Linked DNA regions of Danio rerio. The protein of the gene in region 3 binds, or shares a complex with, the protein of the main gene of each other region. Links are inferred from orthologs where the notes say so. Each region holds a gene or a part of one and is shown on either strand. Other genes may lie near its edges. The genes, in order: taf11, taf10, taf8 and taf6.

What was found.
Region 1: taf8 (region 3) and taf11 share a complex: the UniProt entries of both Homo sapiens proteins name them as parts of the TFIID basal transcription factor complex. The link is inferred for Danio rerio from reciprocal best matches to the Homo sapiens genes TAF8 and TAF11.
Region 2: the proteins of taf8 (region 3) and taf10 are in contact, whole or in part, in a crystal structure (PDB 4WV4), measured with the Homo sapiens proteins. The link is inferred for Danio rerio from reciprocal best matches to the Homo sapiens genes TAF8 and TAF10. Residues at the interface, in NP_612639.2 of Homo sapiens: Arg33, Thr36, Leu37, Val40, Ser43, Leu44, Leu45, Ala48, Gly49, Phe50, Glu51, Ser52, Ala53, Glu54, Ala56, Ser57, Thr60, Leu61, Met64, Leu65, Gln66, Tyr68, Ile69, Ser70, Ile72, Gly73, Arg74, Ala76, Lys77, Cys80; in NP_006275.1 of Homo sapiens: Pro115, Leu116, Phe119, Leu120, Leu123, Tyr126, Thr127, Thr129, Ile130, Pro131, Val134, Thr135, Tyr137, Tyr138, Leu139, Ala142, Gly143, Phe144, Glu145, Ser147, Asp148, Arg150, Ile151, Leu154, Ile155, Leu157, Ala158, Ala159, Gln160, Lys161.
Region 4: taf8 (region 3) and taf6 share a complex: the UniProt entries of both Homo sapiens proteins name them as parts of the TFIID basal transcription factor complex. The link is inferred for Danio rerio from reciprocal best matches to the Homo sapiens genes TAF8 and TAF6.

The regions. Positions count from the first base shown.
Region 1 is NC_133198.1:379,200-384,500, reverse strand, and holds the start of taf11 (transcription initiation factor TFIID subunit 11), read right to left. Parts: upstream 3,267-5,301; 5' UTR 2,918-3,266; intron 1,879-2,917; 5' UTR 1,814-1,878; coding exon 1,655-1,813; intron 1,569-1,654; coding exon 1,423-1,568; intron 1,324-1,422; coding exon 1,236-1,323; intron 1-1,235. UniProt on the Homo sapiens protein: The TFIID basal transcription factor complex plays a major role in the initiation of RNA polymerase II (Pol II)-dependent transcription.
Region 2 is NC_133183.1:27,708,682-27,712,680, forward strand, and holds the end of taf10 (transcription initiation factor TFIID subunit 10), read right to left. Parts: intron 3,130-3,999; coding exon 2,972-3,129; intron 2,883-2,971; coding exon 2,818-2,882; intron 1,495-2,817; coding exon 1,380-1,494; intron 1,283-1,379; coding exon 1,193-1,282; 3' UTR 1,011-1,192; downstream 1-1,010. UniProt on the Homo sapiens protein: The TFIID basal transcription factor complex plays a major role in the initiation of RNA polymerase II (Pol II)-dependent transcription.
Region 3 is NC_133198.1:35,333,839-35,339,400, forward strand, and holds the start of taf8 (transcription initiation factor TFIID subunit 8), read left to right. Parts: upstream 1-2,380; 5' UTR 2,381-2,450; coding exon 2,451-2,498; intron 2,499-4,341; coding exon 4,342-4,501; intron 4,502-5,135; coding exon 5,136-5,234; intron 5,235-5,366; coding exon 5,367-5,429; intron 5,430-5,513; coding exon 5,514-5,562. UniProt on the Homo sapiens protein: The TFIID basal transcription factor complex plays a major role in the initiation of RNA polymerase II (Pol II)-dependent transcription.
Region 4 is NC_133180.1:58,922,395-58,927,821, reverse strand, and holds the start of taf6 (transcription initiation factor TFIID subunit 6), read right to left. Parts: upstream 3,627-5,427; 5' UTR 3,453-3,626; intron 1-3,452. UniProt on the Homo sapiens protein: The TFIID basal transcription factor complex plays a major role in the initiation of RNA polymerase II (Pol II)-dependent transcription.

The DNA.
Region 1 (5,301 bases), about 35 Mb from region 3:
GATTCTTGTCTAGAAAACGCTTCTCGATTGAAGAATTGATTCGTTCTAACCAGTAATATTGAGCACATTTTAGCGTACAGTATAGTTACCAAACACAGACTGTGCAGTTACGCATAACTAAAGAGTCTTAGCTGGTGCTAACTCGCTTTTCAATGCAAGATAATTCAGAACGGTGGGAGTGATCTGTTTATTTGCTCCATCACAGGCTACAACTGTTCTTTCATCATCATCCACACAAAGATTTAATCAACATTAGTGTGGGCAGTTAATGATATAAAAACAGCCTGAATCATTAAAAATGATGATCTGTTTCAGTGAAATGATGCTACATGACACGCCTGCGCCTAAACTAATGCATCACTCACACTCAATATGAAAGAATTGATGGACTTCCAGCAGGGGGCGCCTGTAGACCAGCAGGAATAACATTCAGTTTCTTTTCAGCTTAGTCTCTTTATTAATCCGGGGTCGCCACAGTGGAATGAACCGACAACTTATCCAGCATATGTTTTACGCAGCGGATGCCCTTCCAGCTGCAACCCATATCTGGGAAACACTCTTACACACTCATTCACATTACATACAATTTAGCCCACCCAATTCCCCTATAGCGCGTGTGTTTGGACTGTGGGGGAAACCGGAGCACCTGAAGAAAACCCACACGAATGCCGGGAGAACATGCAAACTCCACACAGAAGCCCCAACTGAACCAGCCGAGACTCAAACCAGAGACCTTCTTGCAGGAATAACAATGCTGCCATTTTCTTTTCAGCTTTGTCCCTTTATTAATCAGGGCTCGCCACAGCGGAATGAACCGCCAACTTTTTCAGCATATGTATTCAGCAACCCATCACTGGGAAACATCCATACACACTCATTCACACACACACACACGCATACACTACAATCAGTTCCCCTATAGCGCATGTGTTTGGACTGGAGCACCTGGAGGAAACCCACGCCAACACGGGGAGAACATGCAAACTCCACACAGAAACACCAACTGACCCAGCTAAGACTCAAACCAGTGACCTTCTTACTGTGAGGCGATTATGCTACCCACTGCAACACCATGTTGCCCAATATTCACAAATTAAACTTAGGCAGACAGCCACACACTGAATAATCCAAACAGACACAATATTTACCAGCTGTAAAAGACTTTAATACTTTCTCTAAACAGATTGATCAACTCTGAATTCTTTTTAAGACCTGTTTTTAATTTAAAGACTCACTCTTTTAATAGCTGCCTTAGGGAACGCCGAGCGCCTGTACATCTCATAGCGGTTCAGCTGCTCTTCAGAGAACGATGATACTAAAACTCTGAAACACAAACACGTCTATTAGTGTTATTATCAGTTTACAGCTACACACACACACACACAACACACACACACACACACACACACACACACAGCTCACTGCATCTTCTGGATTTCGTCTTCATCCACTTTGTGGCGTTTCTCCTTCTTCTTGTCGTGCGGCTCCACTTTCAGCTTTTTGGCAGGAGGAGGATGCAGAGATGAAGATCCCTCCTCCTCTTCATCACCAGCATCTTCAGCAGGCCTCTGAGGAACACAGTGATGCATGGTTGATTTATTTGCATGAGAATGAAACTGAATTCATTGAGGATGCAGAATGAAGAGGCAGAGACCTGACTGAGCGTCTTGCCCTCCTCTTTTACAGCAGTCTGTCCCGCAGCAGGGTCAGAGCTCTTACTGCTGCCCTCCGGACCCTCACTGGACCCCTCGCCCGGTTTGGGTCTGTCCACCGATGTGCCCGCTTCAGGTTTCACACGGGCCGGGTCTGCCATGATTTCAGCTGATGGATCAGGGAAAGGGAATGTGGAAATAATGGACACTGCTGTAGTGTGTTTATCTGCAACACATGAGCGGGAGTCCCTGATCCAATTACAACTGAGCACTGCAATAACACTGTTCTAACTCAGAGTGTCTGTTTCTAGTCCAAATATCTAAAATATCTCAAGAAGCCTTGCTTGTGTTTCATGATTGCAATATATATATATATATATATATATATATATATATTTTTTTTTTTTTGTAAGAATTACTCTGGATGAATACTATTGAATGTAAAAAAAAATTACAAAGATTACAAAAAGCAATTATGTAGAACAAATTGTCATATTACAAAAAAAGAGAGCAACCATTCATTACAATTTTTAAAAAATGTTTATATATATATATATATATATATATATATATATATATATATATATACATATATAATTTTAATGCACATGTATTTAATTAATTATTCTAATCAAATGATTATTTATTTGATTTTAATATTTAATTATATAATATACAATCTTTGAAAAGAGAGAGCAATTTGTTGTTGGTTTACAAAATTAAGAAAAAGATTTAAGGAACATTTAAGGGGAAAAAATGTGTAAACAGGCAACCATTGACTTATAATAGGAAAAACAAACCCTACAGAAGTCAGCGGTTACCGGCTTCTAGCATTCTTCAAAACATCTTCTTTTGTGTTCAACAGAAGAAAGAAACTCATAAAGGTTTAAAACAAGTAAAGCAAGAGTAAATGATGACAGAATTGTAATTTTAGGGTGAACTGTTGCTTACAATGTCAATACTGTCATTACAGTTTATAATTTAGTCTGTGTCTTCTATAAAACATATAGAGGTGAAGTTGGTTGTATATTCTGATATTCAGACATTCTCCTCAATATAATGTCAGAAAAGTATTGTAAATAGGGAAATGATATTAGCAGCAAATGACTATCAAAGTACAGCATTGTTCACAGTCAATTAGACAGTGTTAATGTTGTTTACAAGTCATACTTGCATGCTAATTCAGATCCAATATTCAGAGTAACATGCTAAACAATATAGAGACTGCTAAATGCACCAGTGTGCGGATATAAAACCTACTTTACCTCTAAATATCCATTAAGTCCCCATATATCATTGTTATTGATCGTAAACAACGCGATTAAACAGGGCTCTATCTAATGTGCATTAGCTGTATTAACGTTACACTCGGTCATCTTCAATGTAATGATAGTTTACTTTAGGTGAAAACGGTAACTTAACGATCATCGTAACTTACGATGCTATGTGTATTTGGGGCCGGATTTAACACTTGTTAGACAAAATAAAACCGTGAATTCATAAAAAAAATCAAAACATACCTAAGACCGACAACCGCGTTGAAAATAATGTTTAAAAACACAAAAATCCAACGAGTGTTCTCTGACGAGCGCCTCAGACCGACAAAGTAAACACGAGCATATCCGGTTAAACTACAAAATAAGAGTCCGCACAAGCGTGCACAGCCACGTCAAACACTTGGTGGCGCACAATACTATACATTAAAGCAGCGGTTCTCAGATTTCTTTCATCAAGGACCACCTCAGAAAAAATGTCTCTTCAAGAACCACCATAAGGAGCAGTACTGAAATGCAGAAGTGTAGTAGGCCCAATGAAGCAGCTCTGCACAGTTCAAAAACAAGGCAGATTAATTCCTATTAATACGAATATTTATTATTGTCAGCCACTTTAAACATTATAAATAGTTGAAACATAAACACTGTGCTTACAGTTACAAACAAACAAACAAACAAACAAACAAACAAACAAACAAACAAACAAACAAACAAACAAACAAACAAACAGGGACTAATAACTGATTTAATCCATCAAAATTCACTCGAGCTTTTAGTTTAATTGCAGAAACCCTTTAATTATTCATAATTATATATTTATTTGATAGATATTCACAAATGATTAAATCACATTTAATTATTTAAATGTACCCCTTGCATATAGTTAAAATTTTATGCTTATATTTAAATAATAATAATAATAATAGGCTAATTAATGATGTTATTTCAAATTATCCCATTTCAACTAAACGATATGTACCTAAAATGTCCATAAGGAGTATTTGTTTACTTTTTTATTTTATTAACTTGAGTAAATGTATTTTTTTATTTTTCACTGATTTGTTTGTTTGAATATATTGCCCATTTATTTATTTATTTTAATCAAATATTAATTACTTATTTGTTTCATTTTAATAATAAATATAATTTAATATATACAATGCAAATAATAGATATTTGCACTGATTATTTTAGCATGGTCAGGTTACATAAGTCAAATTGTTTCTTTTATTTTAAAATTGATTAAAATGATTTTGACTACTTGAAACCTAATTTTCAAGCCACTATTAATAACAATAATAATACGCATAATTCATACGAACTGTGGCCTCACAGCAAAAAGGTCTCTGGTTTGAGTCTCGGCTGGGTCAGTTGGTGTTTCTGTGTGGAGTTTGCATGTTCTCCCCGTGTTGGTGTGGGTTTCCTCCGGGTGCTCCGGTTTCCCCCACAGTCCAAACACATGCGCTATAGGGGAACTGATATAATGTATACAATATTGTGTAAACAGTAATTATACCCAGGGTTATTTTTATTAAAAAATGTGTGTGAATGAGTGTGTATGGATAATTTCCAGTGATGGGTTGCAGCTGTAAAGGCATCCGTTGTGTAAAACATATGCTGGAATCATTGGTGGTTCATTCCGCTGTGGCGACCCCTGATGAATAAAGTGACTAAGGCAAAGGAACATAAAAGAATGAATGAATAATAAATAAATCAGTAAATGGACATCACATTCAAACAGACGAATCAGTTTAAAATTAACAATAAAATATAGATGAAACAAAAGTAAATAAAACACTAAAATAAACATAATTACAGTATTATTATCTTGAGTAGAAAAAGATATGCAATAATATTAAAAAGTGCACATCATTATAGTGATTCAGTTTAAAGAAACTCCTGAAAAGGGCTGTAATTATTCCACAAATCCCCGATTAACAGTCACAGATTCTTCTTGTGCTAATATCAGGATACTCCACATAAAGCTTGAAGGGATATATGGCTCAGAATTAGTGATATTATTTATTAAATTGTTTATTAATTGTCTTTATTAATGTCCACCCCTACACCAACCCTCACAGTAATGTAAAACAATAATTATACCGAGCATTACACCTATTATTTATTAAATTACCCATTCAATTGTATTTTATTAACATCTACCATTACCCCAACCCTCCAAAATAATGTAAAACAGTAATTATACCGAGTATTATTCATTTAATTATTAAATTATCCATTTAGTTGTATTTTATTAACATCCCCCCCTCACAGTGATGTAGAAATATTGATGATTGTTGTACGGTGCTGTATTGATGTAAGAACCGCAGCTGTATCCCTTCTGGACTTTACACATAAATATATTTCAATCCCCT
Region 2 (3,999 bases), on a different chromosome or scaffold from region 3:
CTTGTTGAGACAATTTTTTTCTGAGGTGGTACTTGATCGATGAAAAAACTTTGAGATCCACTGAAGTATATTATGCCGTTTCTGCTCAACTAGTGCCTCCTAGTGGGATTACAAAAAATAAACTATATACAATCCTTGCAAATGCTGCTGACATTTTGTCTTATTACTATCGTATACTGACACGGCTTAACAATTGAAATGGGGTTTGGCGGTAAAGTGGCAACATGTAATGCTTTGTAACAAAGAGTTTAGCTTACCTGTGAAAAAGTCTCAAATGAAACACAGTTCAAATTCTTCTGTCTTGTAAAGCACCACCACTATTCATGTATTTTTGTATATCTTTGCGTAGTTTGGCAAGTAACTTAGTACATTTTATATCGCACTTTTAATCTCTTTTCCCAGATAACGCCTCAGACTCCGACTAGCTAATCATCCTCAGGCCCACCTGCTGCTATAGCCACGCCCCAAACTTTCGCTATTAGTCAAACTGAACAGTGATTGACAGACCCAAGTGAACAGCTTCGATATCTTGACCCATATATGACTTACTTATAATCACCGAACAATAAACCGGGATAAAATTATTTGTTTTAGCAACTTAAAAAAAATCTAGCATACTTCTTATGAATCCCCATCACCCTTTTTGTGACCTACATTGAATTCGCCTGAGAGCACATAGAGCAACTGAAAGAAGCAAAGTCAAGATCGATTCTATTCTAATAATATTCTTATATTTATATAATGTTTTCTCTGAAGACATGATGATTGGTCTCAGCTGTATTAGACTGTTGCGAGAAACTTGAGCAGGTCCTTCAGGTACTATTAATACTGCAGCACGTTACAGCTCCAGCTCCTTATGGCATGAAACTAAACCCATAAAGCGAAGATGAGAAGATCATACATGTAGTGTATGAACTTACATCACAAGCCTTACAGTGGTTAATTTAAGACTTCTTTTTACAGTATTTGATTGATTGATTTACAGTGATTGATGACCAAAACAGGAATTGTATTGTAATGAATTTATTTATACAAGATTTTTTACTGGCATCAACTAAGTCATGTGGCATAATATAACTCAGTCAGGCTTAACAAAAATACAAAAAAGCTGCTAAATCCCTAAAAGCAAGTGGGCTGATGTTTCTCATCTTGACAATTAGCACATTTCCAGCAGTCCATTAGAATGAAGCTCTCAGATGAAATAATGAGGCTTTTTAACATTTATGCCGTACTCTGCCAAAGCCGGTGTCAGATCTTCCATCGTCAGAGTGTACTTCTTGTCCTGGAAAGTGAGATGATTATAACATGTGAGATTTAAAGATCAAGTTTTTTTTTATATTGTACATATAGTCATTCTAAAATGCATTGTGCGCACAAACCTTGGCCTTGTTTCGGGAGCTTCCAGAGGCTGTGCCCTTCATTTTGCAGTGTTGTAGTGCATCGTTTGCAATATCAGAGATGAACTTCTGAGATGCCAGAGATATGAGACGAATTCTGGCAAAGAAACAAGGACATGATGTAAAGGCAGATTCATGAGGGGTTTATGAAGATATAAAAGCATGTTTTTTTATGATTAAAAAATTAACACCAACCTTTTATATTAAGATAGCATTTTCAATATTAGCTTGTTACCGACTAACAAAAATGCAATACTTTACATTAGACAAATGTGATATTTATTTCCTGTTCATACTAAGAATAATAACCATTTATTCATTTTCTTTTCGGCTAAGTCTCTTTATTAATCTGGGGTCGCCACAGCGGAATGAACTGCTAACTTATCCAGCACATGATTTACACAGTGGATGCCCTTCCAGCTACAACCCATCACTGGGAAACGTCCATACACACACATACACTCCAGACAATTTACCTTACTGAATTCACCTACAGCACATGTTTTTGGACTTATGGGGAAAACCGGAGCATAATAACCATTTAAAGGTTTACAAATTGTATAATGATGATGATGAAAACAGCCTGCCACATACACTTTTACATGCAGTGAAGTTGGACCACCCCGACCATAAACAAACATCACATAATTCAGGAGAAGACAGGTTAATGGAAGGTAGCTTTTAGAAAGAGGAAATAAAATATATTAGGGAAAAGGGAGGTGAAAAAAAAAAACCCTCTCCGACTGCCGTTGAAGTAGGGCAGTGTAAGATCAGGGGAAAGAAAGCCCCAGCACGAGCACAAAAACACATAGACATAACATCGCAACAGGTGATGGGAACAGGGGATGTGGATATAGTCCGATAAAGGCGGCAGCCATCTGGTCCTGCCCCCAGAGAGCCCCGATCAAAGACCCGTCCAACAACCCAGAAAAACGTTGGAACAACTTTTGGATAGTTTTAATTTTCCAGCTGATGAACATGACACCTAAATCGCATCTTTAAACAATTTAAGCAAAAATTCTGAGAAAATCTGAAATTATAAAATTATTACATGTTCACTTTACACATTTTATTTTACACACACTTTATTTTAAGGTACAATTCTCGCTGTTAACAACCCATTATCTAACACTTTTAGCTCAAACTACTCACTTGTTGCTTATTAATAGTTAGTAAGGTAGAAGTTGGGTTTAGGTATTGGGTAGGATTAGGGATGTAGAATAAGATCATACTTTAGAAGTACTAATAAACTGCCAATCTCTTAATAACAGGCAGCTAATAAGCCAGTAGTGAAATCGTGGAAACCGATAAATAAACTAAAGTATTAAGAGTTTTTGTTTATCTTTCATACATTTAAAGTGCTTTTATCATATTTGACCCAACAGCTTTCTGAGAGAAAGCTTTCTTATTCCGAACTCACATCCTTGGATCTGATGCTTCAAATCCAGCTCTGTTGAGATAGTATCCTGTAACTGCGTCTGGAATCTGAAGCACAGACAGTTTGTTAGCAGTACAACTCATAAAATATCATTAATAACCAAAGAATAAACTACAAATCACAAAAGGGAGCTCACTGTAGGAGTGTAATCCTCCAGCTGCATGAGGAAATCTGCCAGTGGTGTAGTTGAGATCACAGGCTTCACGTCTCCGTTGGCGATCTCTGTGGGCACATACACGCCGTTTGATACAGTGGAGTCGGAGGATGGGGTTGCCATGGAAGCCGAAGTAGACACTTTGAGGGCGGAAAGTAAGTATAACAGACAATTTAAGGCAATAAAACAACAATTGACATTACAGGCAACAATCAAAAGGCAGCTAAAACTTCTCTTTCATGAGCACTAAACTACAACCTAACAAAAAATTCTTCTTCTCATTCTTTCCTTAATCCCTCCCTACTTAAGTCTGCATTTAATAAAATTTCCATAGATTATTTTGCTAGCGCAGATTGTTAGTCTCAAAGTGAACGATTCATATGTGCAAGTTAATCCACTTAAGAGGAACAGTTTAATCTAAATCTGACCATCTGCTTCTGCTCTGTTATGGCAGTTCTTCTCTGATGACGTCAGTTTGACAGATTGGAGCAAAAGATGCTTAGCCACACCTCTTCAACCGTTAAGTTTGCCACAAGTGAAAGATGACAGGAGCACAAAAATAAAACCCGCCCACTGCTCAATATTTCAATTCAGTTGGAAATAGGTCATCACACTGAAATAAAAGTTTGCAACAACTTCCTGTTAATACAGGCATTAAAGTGGGCATTGGCTCTTTGTGATAAATCACAATACCCTTTCTCATTTGACAGTTGCTTTGGACAAAAGTTGGACAACTAAGTGTAAATAATTGAATTTATAATTAAATGTTTGTAGGTAAATGCTAAGCTCTCTGATCAGGGCTGGGTAGTAACTAGGCCCACATGGAATCTGTGTGCGCAGAAATCCACAGATTTCCACAGGGTTTTTTTTTGCCAAATTTATATATTTTATTATATATATATATATATATATATATATATTATTATTATTATTATTATTACATTTATTTCAGTAATATTATTGACCATATGAAAATGTTCATATGATTTATTTACAATACAGTTTGTAAA
Region 3 (5,562 bases):
TACGTTGATAAAATAAATACGCGTTCAGTGTTATTATACAAAGCCAGTTCTCAAGAAAAACGCAATGATATTCGAAACATATTAATATATGTTTGCGTTTTATAAAGATAAACACACAATAGATGTTTTCCAATGCGGCTGGCTGACACCCAGCTCATTAGGTTAGCAAGCTGGCTAACGTCTGGGCGTGATAAAAAGCCTGTTTTTGCATTTAAACTCCTTTTTGATATCCCTACCATCAATAAACAGTATACAATTATTTTTTCCACATCAAATGCATTACAAGAAGCATGTATTGGTGCGAGGAATTGTGTGGAAGATTGGATAATCCACCGTCAGGCAGCTAGCTAACATGTCAGGCTCTGCACAGAAGCGCAAAGAGCGAACACTAAACTGCTTGATTTACGCCATTCGTGGGATTTTACCATGGCTCACCTGGTCTGAAATATTGAGTACCCCCATCTCCCTGCGTCAGTCGGGCCGAAAGTCCCTCATCAGTAAGGAATCGAGGCTGGGAAACCAAGACGACAATCTTGTGTTGCGATTATGGACGTGATGAGTGAATCTTTAGCTGGTGAGGCAGTTGAAAATAGCGACACCAGCGTGATGGCCGCCCGCTGAAACGACTTTCAAAATAAATGCCCGACAACTAAACCTTGCTGTGGAAAATATACTTTGCAAATGTCAATGTGCACCAAATACACCCCCTCCCTCACACACACAAATAAAAAATAACTTTTTTTTCTGTTTAAATAAACTTTAAATGTAATATGTTAAGTCATATTATCATAGAGAAGTACAGATAAAGCTGTTTTTACAGACAACAACATAAAATCAGCTGCTGTTAACACCGCAGAATTAGTTATTATTGTTATATATTTATTTTTCAAAATCTAGATTATAGAATATTAATATACCCCTAGATAAATAGTTGCAAAGCATTTTTCACAATACACACACAACTATATTTACACTTCTTTTTATTTCCTACATCTAAAGCAATCGCTGCAATAAAATGAATTATTTGAATTACTGTTATGATTTCCAATCTTTAGAAAATAGAATGACACAATATTTATTTATTTAAATCAATAAATATAAATTTACTACAGAAATATTGTCATTTGAGATTGCTTCACAATGATACATTTTGATTGGCAAATCTGACCTTTAACACATTAAGCTAAACCTTCTGCCCCATATGCAGAATGCAGATCTACCGGATATACTAAGACACAATAAAGGAGACCAATTTTGCTTCATAATAAATAGGCGTAATGCATTTCTGTGTCCACAGAATGTGCAGCTACAGCTCAAATTAAGCTACAGATCATTTATTTTTTTATGTCATGCTGCAAAAAAAAAAATGACCCAAAAAATGTGCATCTCTTTAAATGCAAATGAGCTATTTCCAGAAGAAAGTGGGTCCTTTACAGTCTTTCTCAGATATTCTCAAGACAAGACATTGTTTTGGTTTTATCATGTCTACTGCACTTATGTGACATTTTAGTTCATCATCATGATGAAAGTTTATTATCCTCATCCGTTTTAAAGCCTTGTTGGTCTGTCTCGCTTTGTCCACTCATTTCAAAGCATTTGTGGTATCAGCCTTTGCTAAGCAACCATCATCTGTGCTCTCCATGGAAAATTTTTATTTATTTATAATTTTTTAACATGAAAAGATTAAAAGATAATTGGGCCTGACTCAGCATGAATGCTGTTTTTCAGCAGATTCCTGCTCCGCAGAACATAAAAACACACAGACACCCATTAACATGTCAAATTATATGAAAAATACATAAAATAATATAATAATTTGGTAGCATTAAGGTCTGAGGTGTTTGTGTCTACTCCCACGATTCAAATATTATAATAAAACTAGGATTAAAACTGATTTACCTAGCTTTTGTACCTCGTTTTCAGGTCAGAACTTAAAAATTAAATCTTCTGTGTCAGTTTACCGTTTTACTAAAGAATCATGTAGAAAGCAAGGATGTGAACATTTTGTTATCTAAAAGACTTGACATTTCTGTAAGATGTTCGACATTTAACTATTAACATTAACAGCTAGTTCGTGTGTGATGGTTCTTTTATTCAAATCATTAAAATAAAAATAAAGATAACATATTTAGAAGTCTTTAGAATAACTTAATAAAAGTTTTATGAGCATGCTACAATACCGTATTGACGATGACTTCAAAAAATGCAAATTTCTACTTTTGCTTTCATTTTTAGGAAATGGCTATGCAACAGTTATTTCTTTGTTTGACTTTTATTTTGGAATTGCACAGAAAACAACAACCTTCCGGTCGCCCTGTTGGAAATGTTGATAGGGTTGCCATTTTCGCCCAATATAAAAACACCAAATACAGTTTTTAGCAAACGCAGAACGCACAATGAGTTTATTTGCGAATGCTAAACATCAGAGGAAAAACCACTAGAGTTCTAAAATGGCAGACTCGGTAATGATGGGGAGCGGATCTTTAAACTCCGGAAGCGTACGTTAAATATCTCCTTTCATTAACGCTAACGTTACTCTTTCCTTCACCCTGCTGGCTCAGCCAAACAATACTAACTTTAGTTTTTTGATCAAAATTAGACTTAAAGGCACTTGTGTAATATATTTTAAAGCAGACACCGTATCGTATGTAAACACGTCTGTATATATATATATATATATATATATATATATATATATATATATATATATATATATATATATATATATATATATATCAATTATATAGTGAGCTGTTGCAGATCAGTGTCGTCAAACAGTGTTTTATATAACTGGTAAACGTCTTGTTAAAGCCGAAAATCACAAACTTTACTGTACTGCAACTGTACAAACTCAATTTTCTCCCAGCAGGAGTTTTCTATGAAACAATGCTAATGTCACTCATAATGACAAGTTATTGTGCATGGAGAATTGGGTTAGCATAATATATTAACAGTAAACTAGATTATTGACAGGAATGGGCAGTTTTACATACCATAATTTAATACCACACTCTTAATGCAATCCACAGTGGAATAGTAATCTTAACCAGATTCTCAGATGCAAAAATGAATGCAATAGATGCATTTTTGCCTCAGTAATTATAAGCACAGCCTTACAAAATCCCTAACTTTTTGTTAAGGATCCATCCATAAAAAATAAAAAAACATTAACAAAGATTGAGGTAAAGGTGGCTTTATATTCACACATTCAGACTTTGTCCTTAATAATATAAGTTCAGAAACATGTTGTTTGCAAATTCTAAATAGGGAAATCCTATTAGCAGCAGTGATAATGTTGTTTTGAAGTCATTACCTAGCTAAAATTTTACCCAATACTGTTATGTTATCGTTGGCCATGGAATTAATTTAAACAGGATTGGTAAAATACGATGTCTTCTATTTGCTGGACAAATGGTAGATTTAGTAGGTAAAGCTTTTAATCTGATTCAGTTTGACTCAATTGAGTTGAATCAAGTAATTCAGATCTTCAAGATTTGGTTCCTTTAAATGACCTAATAAATCCCTGACCAATGTTTTAATATAGGTTGATCCCTTACACTTAATAATCAAAGTAGCATGGAAAACAATATAGCGACTCACAAGTTGTCACTTTATGAATGTGCCATATAAAACCAACTTAACTAAGCAGAAATTAACTTAAAATCACATACGATTCCACAATGTGAGTTATAGTAATTTCCAGTAAAGTAAATCTACCTCAAAACGTTTTGATTTTCATAAAAACTTAATTACATGACTAACTTTTCCATTATTTTTTCAAAGTTTTATATTCATGAGTCATAACTAGGGCCAGACGGAATCTGCAGATGTTTTTTGCTATTTCTGCTGAGATTTTTGGTAAAAATCTGCGGATTTCTGCAGAATTATTTTGGGAGTATCCAGCGGAGTATCAAAACTAAAACCTTAATATATGAAACAAAAAGTAATAAATTACTGAATAAAAACTGAATAAATTTAGATTTACACATTTACTCAAGTAAATAAACAGAATTAATGATGGGCTAAAAATCTGCAGAAATTCTGCGGAAAATCTGCGCGCGCAGATTTCGTGTGGGCCTAGTCATTACCACTAAATACAATTCCTCTTTCTTCAACACTAATCTTAGAATAAACTTTGAAACCTTTTAAAAACTCAGAAGCTTACAGTATAGGAACCATACTAATTGTAAAACATTTCAAATAAATGCAGTTCATTTAGCCCTAACTTAATCTCTTTTATTGCATTTTCAAAGAAATGCCTTGCTGTATTAAATGCAGATATGTTTTAAAACTTCCTGATCTGTAAAACCTTCTTATCATCTTTTATTTTATTATTTCCAGCGCTCGGGGAGCAGTAAGACCTGCACCAGTCCCACAGAGAACTATCAGCTGGCTCGGAGACGCACGCTGCAAGTGGTGGTCAGTGCTCTGCTGACCGAGTGTGGCTTTGATAGCGCTGAGAAAGCTGTTGTGGAGACACTCACTGAGATGATGCAGAGCTGTGAGTCCTTCATTTACTTTAAGCAGCTCATCTTGACAAAATTTAAAAGCTTATGCATACCAATATCACAAATCATCGCGTTTTACTTTTTACGTTTGTGTGTATTTGTATGTAATTTATGGTTCTATGTTCTAATTTAACCACAGTTTGGGAACCAAAATTGAGCTATAGTTGAATAAAAGCTCACAAAACAATACAATTACTTTACACTTTTCTGTACATTAGAATGTGTCTATTTAAAAATATATTAATCTGAGCAAATAAATTATCACTGAAATGTCAATAAGACTAATATTGTATACACTAAAAAAGTTTTTTTTTTTTGTCAGGCATACAGTATTTAGAAAAGTGTAGCTCCCAAAAATTTTAATTATTGTCATTTTAAATCTTTTTACTTGTTCACTATTTATTTAGATTACTAGTTTACTTATTTGTCTGCTAAGTTATAGTTTATTAATAGGTCATAAATGGATAAATACATGTTTTTGTGTGTCTAGTATGACCATTTATTCTTAAATATATTTTAATAAGTAGAGCTCATGTTTGCTCCGGTTTCCCCCCACAGTCCAACGACATGTGCTGTAGGTGAATTGGGTACTTTTTGATTTTTAAGAGTCTTGTTGTCTTTTGATAGATATAACAGAAGTTGGACGTTGCGCAAAGGCAAACTGTGAGCACACAGCCAGAAGCACCCCTACTCTGTCTGATGTGGTCATTACTCTCGTCGAAATGGGTTGGTTTACTTTCAATGTTAGGACAAATTAAAGATTCAACTTCTTTTTTAATATATATATATATATATACATGGTTTAGTCATGCTAATGAGATTTAGGCTAATCCTGGATTTACTTTTCCACAATCGCAGGTTTTAATGTGGATACTCTTCCAGTGTACGCCAAAAGATCTCAAAGAATGGTTATAACAGCACGTAGGTCTCTATTATATCTAAATATTTATATTTTTCTGCTGTAACTGTTCCTGTTTTAATTGGTAACACTTATGCATTTCACAGCTCCGATAACAAACGCTCCGGTGGTACCAAAATCTCTGACGGCTGGACA
Region 4 (5,427 bases), on a different chromosome or scaffold from region 3:
GGGGGAGTGTCTGAGGAACTAAAGTGGCAGGGTGTGGGAGTGTCTATTTGGGCACGCGCGAGTTTTAGTCAAAATACTCACACACAGGAGAAAGTGATGGTATTTACCCTACATGGACATCTGTAGTCGAATTATTAAATGGTGGACTTTAACTGCAATTTGGCTCTTTCATTCAGGGAATTCATTCATGCCCTCTTGCGACAAACGAGATATTTGATTCGAGGAACTGCTCTAAGCGTGTATTTTTCATGCAATGTTTGATACCGCACGGCGAATGAGAGAAAAAAAACTCAGCATTTTCCAGAAACTTAGATGCACACGGCAGGTAGCGTCAGAAAGCCGCGTGTGTTATTCTGGTCACAAAATGCCGTAAAAACCCTACACGAGGGTAAAGTTTGGTTGTGGTGCTAACATGTTTGCACTCGGTGCAATAGTTAACTTAGTTCGATACGAACAAACTGAATAAACAAAGAGCACTGGTCGCTCACTTACCAAATCTGTAGAGACAGGACAATCCCCAGCAACTAGAGCCGCGTCTTTATGAAGAGAATACTACAAGCGAATCCGGATCTCAGCGTTTGCAGATGAGAACAGCTCTCAGGTAAACAATAATCCTCCTTAGACACGCAAGTTATTGTTGTCGAGCGTCGCGTACACTGTTAATCCACGCGTGATCCAGATGAGCTCTCACAGAGAGAAAATGAAAACAAAACTTAACGGCAGCAAGATATAAAAGCAACACTTCACGCTTGTTTTGCCAACACAACGTGGCGTCTCTGCCGTCTGAACACTACGACAGTAATGAATATTAATAAAGTTCCACAATAGAGCGCGCTGATTGGTTTGAACCAAGCTTTACTCATGCATTAATGCATCACACTGTAAGACGTAACAAGACACACTCTGGCACAGACGCCCAGTCTGCACGCTGGAATACAACGCTATTATGTCATGACCGTGACGCAGCTTCAAAAATTCGTTTCAAACCGGAAGTACGAATTTGCTTAAAATAACGCAAAAACAACCAATTTACACTTTTTGGTGAAATATAGGTGTCCTAATAGTGTTTTTAGCAGTGTGGGACACATATACGACTGTCAACAGCTCAAAATACGTGTTTTGGTGTTTCGTGACACTTTAAAGCCCGCGCATCTCTTTCTCAAATCCCAGACTGCACAAAAGATGCCTCAAAATGAGCAAGTTTAAGCCACTTGTACATCCAGGAAGTGTTCAGGAAAAGCAAAACAGCAGAGAAGAATTTCAACACAGAGGAACATAAACACCTTACTGCCAACTAGCGTTTCGGAAGTGTTAATTCAGATCAAAAGAGACAGCGCGTAGAAGTATAAATGCACAGCTACACCCGTTGCATGCGCCGTGGGTCACGCCGGTCACTTAACGCAGAAGTTTAAACCAGGCTTTACCCAGAGATGGGTTACAGCCTAAAAGGCATCCGCTGCGTAAAATTGTGCTGGATAAGTTGGCAGTTCATTCTGCTGTGGCAACCCCGGATTAAGCCGAAAAGACTATGAATAAATGAATGAATGAATGAATGAATGAATGAATTAATTAATTAATAATCGGGTTTAAGTTTCATAGTAGCCTAATAATGTTTCAACGATTTTTTGTAGTTTGTTTTAAGAGATCTGAAAATATTAGCAAAATATATGCTGACATTATTTGCAGTTATCAAACATCTAAACGTTATGTATAAATGGGCTTAATTCAATATACTTGTGATTCAGCAAATTTCATAATGATGGGATTATTACTGATCTGTAAGCTCCATCTACTAGCCATCTTGTAGTGTGATTTACATGTACTGTATGTAGCATAATTTTGCAAAGTAAAACCATTATGATTTTACTGCATGTTTTCAAATTATACAATCTATATTTAATAAACAATTTTTCAAGCTAGCTTATATACGTTGCCTCTGTTGCCTCAATATTTATTACCAATAATGCTACTACAGTTTGTGATAAAGCAAATATTTTATGTTGTCATTTTTTTTCTTGTTTCTAGCTTAATAAAAAAGAAAGTGAAGCAATTAATATAGCTGTTCAGATATGTCAGGCCCATAGCTCGTAAGACATGGGAAATGCATTTTTCAAATGGACTTTTCTTTTTTTATTTGAAATGTGGCAGTCACTGCGCGTTCACAAAAGTGGAAATGCAATTGCAAATGTGCAACTTGCTATTACATTTGGATTGGGTCAAAATTTATGCATCCACATATTAAAAATTGTCCTGGATATCCTTCTGTAAAAAGAAATTGAATAATGTGGTCTAAGTTTAAATGTTAAAAAAGAAATAAATGTTTAAACATCTTGTCTGAATTGCCATGCTAAAAATAGATGTTTCTGTAGAAATTACCCAATTATTTTTTATAACTTGAAGAATTATGATGGTTGTTTTGGCTATTTTTAGAATAGTTGTGTCTGTGTATTTGGATTCGTTTTAAAGCTTGGAATGCAGCATAAAACTGCATGGAATCCTATTTATTTGTATTAATTAGCTTAAAATATGCATATTCTTAAGTATTTCGAGTAAGTTGCTAAATAAAAATGTATAATATTGATAACTATTTAAAGCATGTATTTTGTAAAAAAAAAAAAAAAAAAGAAAAACTTCCCAAACTTGCGTAACGCTACACTTCTTAACAGAGAACAGCTTTGCATCCTACTAGGAATCGTAAAAGTACTATAATAACTCTATAAAATGTCCAATTATTACTATGTATTATAAGATCAGTCATTTATTTACTTTCTTTTCGGCTTAGTCCCTTTATTATTAAGGGGTCGCCACAGCGGATTAAACCACGAATTTATTCAGCACATGTTTTACGCAGCTGATGCCCTTTCAGGCAACAACCCATCACTGGGAAACACCCACACTATCATTCAAACACATACACTACAGAAAATTTTACTTTACCCATTTCACCTGATTTGTGGGGGAAACCGGAGCACCCGGAGGAAATCCATGCGAACACGGGGAGAACATGCAAACTACACACAGAAATGCCAACTTAACCAGCCAAGGCTCGAACCATCGACCTTCTTGCTACTGCGCCACAGCGTTGCCCTGTTATAAATTCTCAAACTCTAAATTATAAAATAGTTTAGTATTTCTACTAGAATCAATATGAGTTTGCATTGCTTATTTGAGACCATGTAATTAACGTTACTGATCAAATACTCAGAAGTAAAGAAGTAAATAAACTACGTTGTCTGTGCGTTACCGCTACATAAACCTGCGTTGTTTATATATATATATATATATATATATATATATATATATATATATATATATATATATGTGTGTGTGTGTGTGTGTGTGTGTGTGTGTGTGTGTGTGTGTGTGTCGAAAGGCTATTAATGTACGACTGGATCATGCTTCTCTGTAATAAACGTGCACAAAAGCAAAAGTGAACAGCATGTCTTTCTTACCTTCAAAAGGAGGTTGCAGCTATGTCTATTTAAAGCTGCCGCTTTGAAAACAATAAAACAAAACGGGTAAATCCTCTGTATTATATAATACGAATTTTGTGTTTTTATTTGTTTGTTTGGTTTGTTAATACTTTGCACAGCCCATTTAGTTCCGAACCATTTTTCCGAAAATTCGCCATTTTGAATCTGCTGAAAGGTCCTAAAACAAATGTGACGTTATCGCACGTATATTTTTACAAGCTCATATTAGCGTCATGTTTTAAACACACTTTATAAAAGAATAGTTATAAATGAACGTTTTACAAATTATTCAGCAAATATTTAATGCAGAAGAAGCAGTGTATATAGGTTCATTTTTATGCATCTTTCATGACATAGACTGCCTCGGAATCGATTGCAGGGGGACTCGATTTCTCACCACACCGCCTCGCCCGAGTGGAGTAAGGGGAAGCTGCAGGCCCGGAGACCCAACTGCACGCTCAGACTAGCGCGCACAGACAGACCAGACAGTGCCCCTGCTGTTGGGTTGGGTGAAGCGGCGAGTAAGGGGAAGCTGCAGACCCCTATATGGGACATCTGCAGACTTGGATCTAGGCAGTTTTACGGCTCAGGCAATTTTACACGCCACAGTTTTACGCCGCTGTTGTTCCTAATGCGTCCAGTAGGGGGGATGGAAGATACATGGCCAAACAATACATTTGAAGTCTACTCTCCCAGATTATTAAATGTCCTGTTCATAAATACACACACACACACACACACACACACACACACACACACACACACACACACACATATATATATATATATATATATATATATATATATATATATATATATATATATATATATATATATATATATTTTTTTTTTTTTTTCATTAGATTACGCTGAATAAGAACGCTAAGTTAATTTATCAGAAAGTGAGTTATAAACTCACTAGAGAATATGCAGAACTGATACACTCACCAAACAATTTCAGCTATGCAAAAGCCCACTGGCAAATTAATTTAGATTAATCTAATAAGAAAAATTCAAAACACAAATAGTTGGAAAGTGTAATGGTTAATTGTAGCCTAGTTATACGCTTTTATATAGAGAGATGAAATTTGTTGTATTGTTTATATATAAAGTTGCATTTTGACAATAACACAATTATAACCGTACAATACAGTGTAATATGGCGTAATGATGTGCTGTGATAAGAATGCAGTGGTATTGACTACCAGACAGCTGCAGAACGTTTAGACAAACAATTTACTACTTTCTAAAATTTCAAGGACCATTTAGCTACCTGACAATCAAAAACCTAGACAACATTAGATTTTTTTTACATTTATTTATTGACAACAATATCTCTAGAGATTGCCAGTTGTCTTTAAATGAAGCTGAATCCTTGCATAAAATTCTTAATGCTCACTAAAAAAAAAAAAAATGTGTATAAATACTCTGCAAAAAATCCTTTTCTTACTTAAGAGTTTCTGATTTGGTTTTAGTCCAAATATCTAAAAATTCTTAATCCTCAGAAAAGTGAGGAATGGAAAATGAAAAGAAAAAAAAAGCATTTCATGCCATTTTACATATTATCTGGACCTATGCAAAACATATAAAAATATATTTTTTAACTTGATTTATGATTTAAGAGTTATAACTTAAGGTATAACAAATTACCAAGTCATTATTATTTAACATTTTTTGTTATTTGTTGCTACAAATTGCGATCCTGACTTTCCCATATTTAGCATATTTAATTTTTTTCTTTGTAAAAAATGGTAACAATAAATATTATGAAACAATAAGTGATAAACAATTTGAATGCATACAATGCAAACTTATATATATATATATATATATATATATATATATATATATATATATATATATATATATATATATATATATATATATAATATATATATAAAAGTATATATAATATATAAATGGTAACGTATAGCTATATGAACAAAAATTAGTA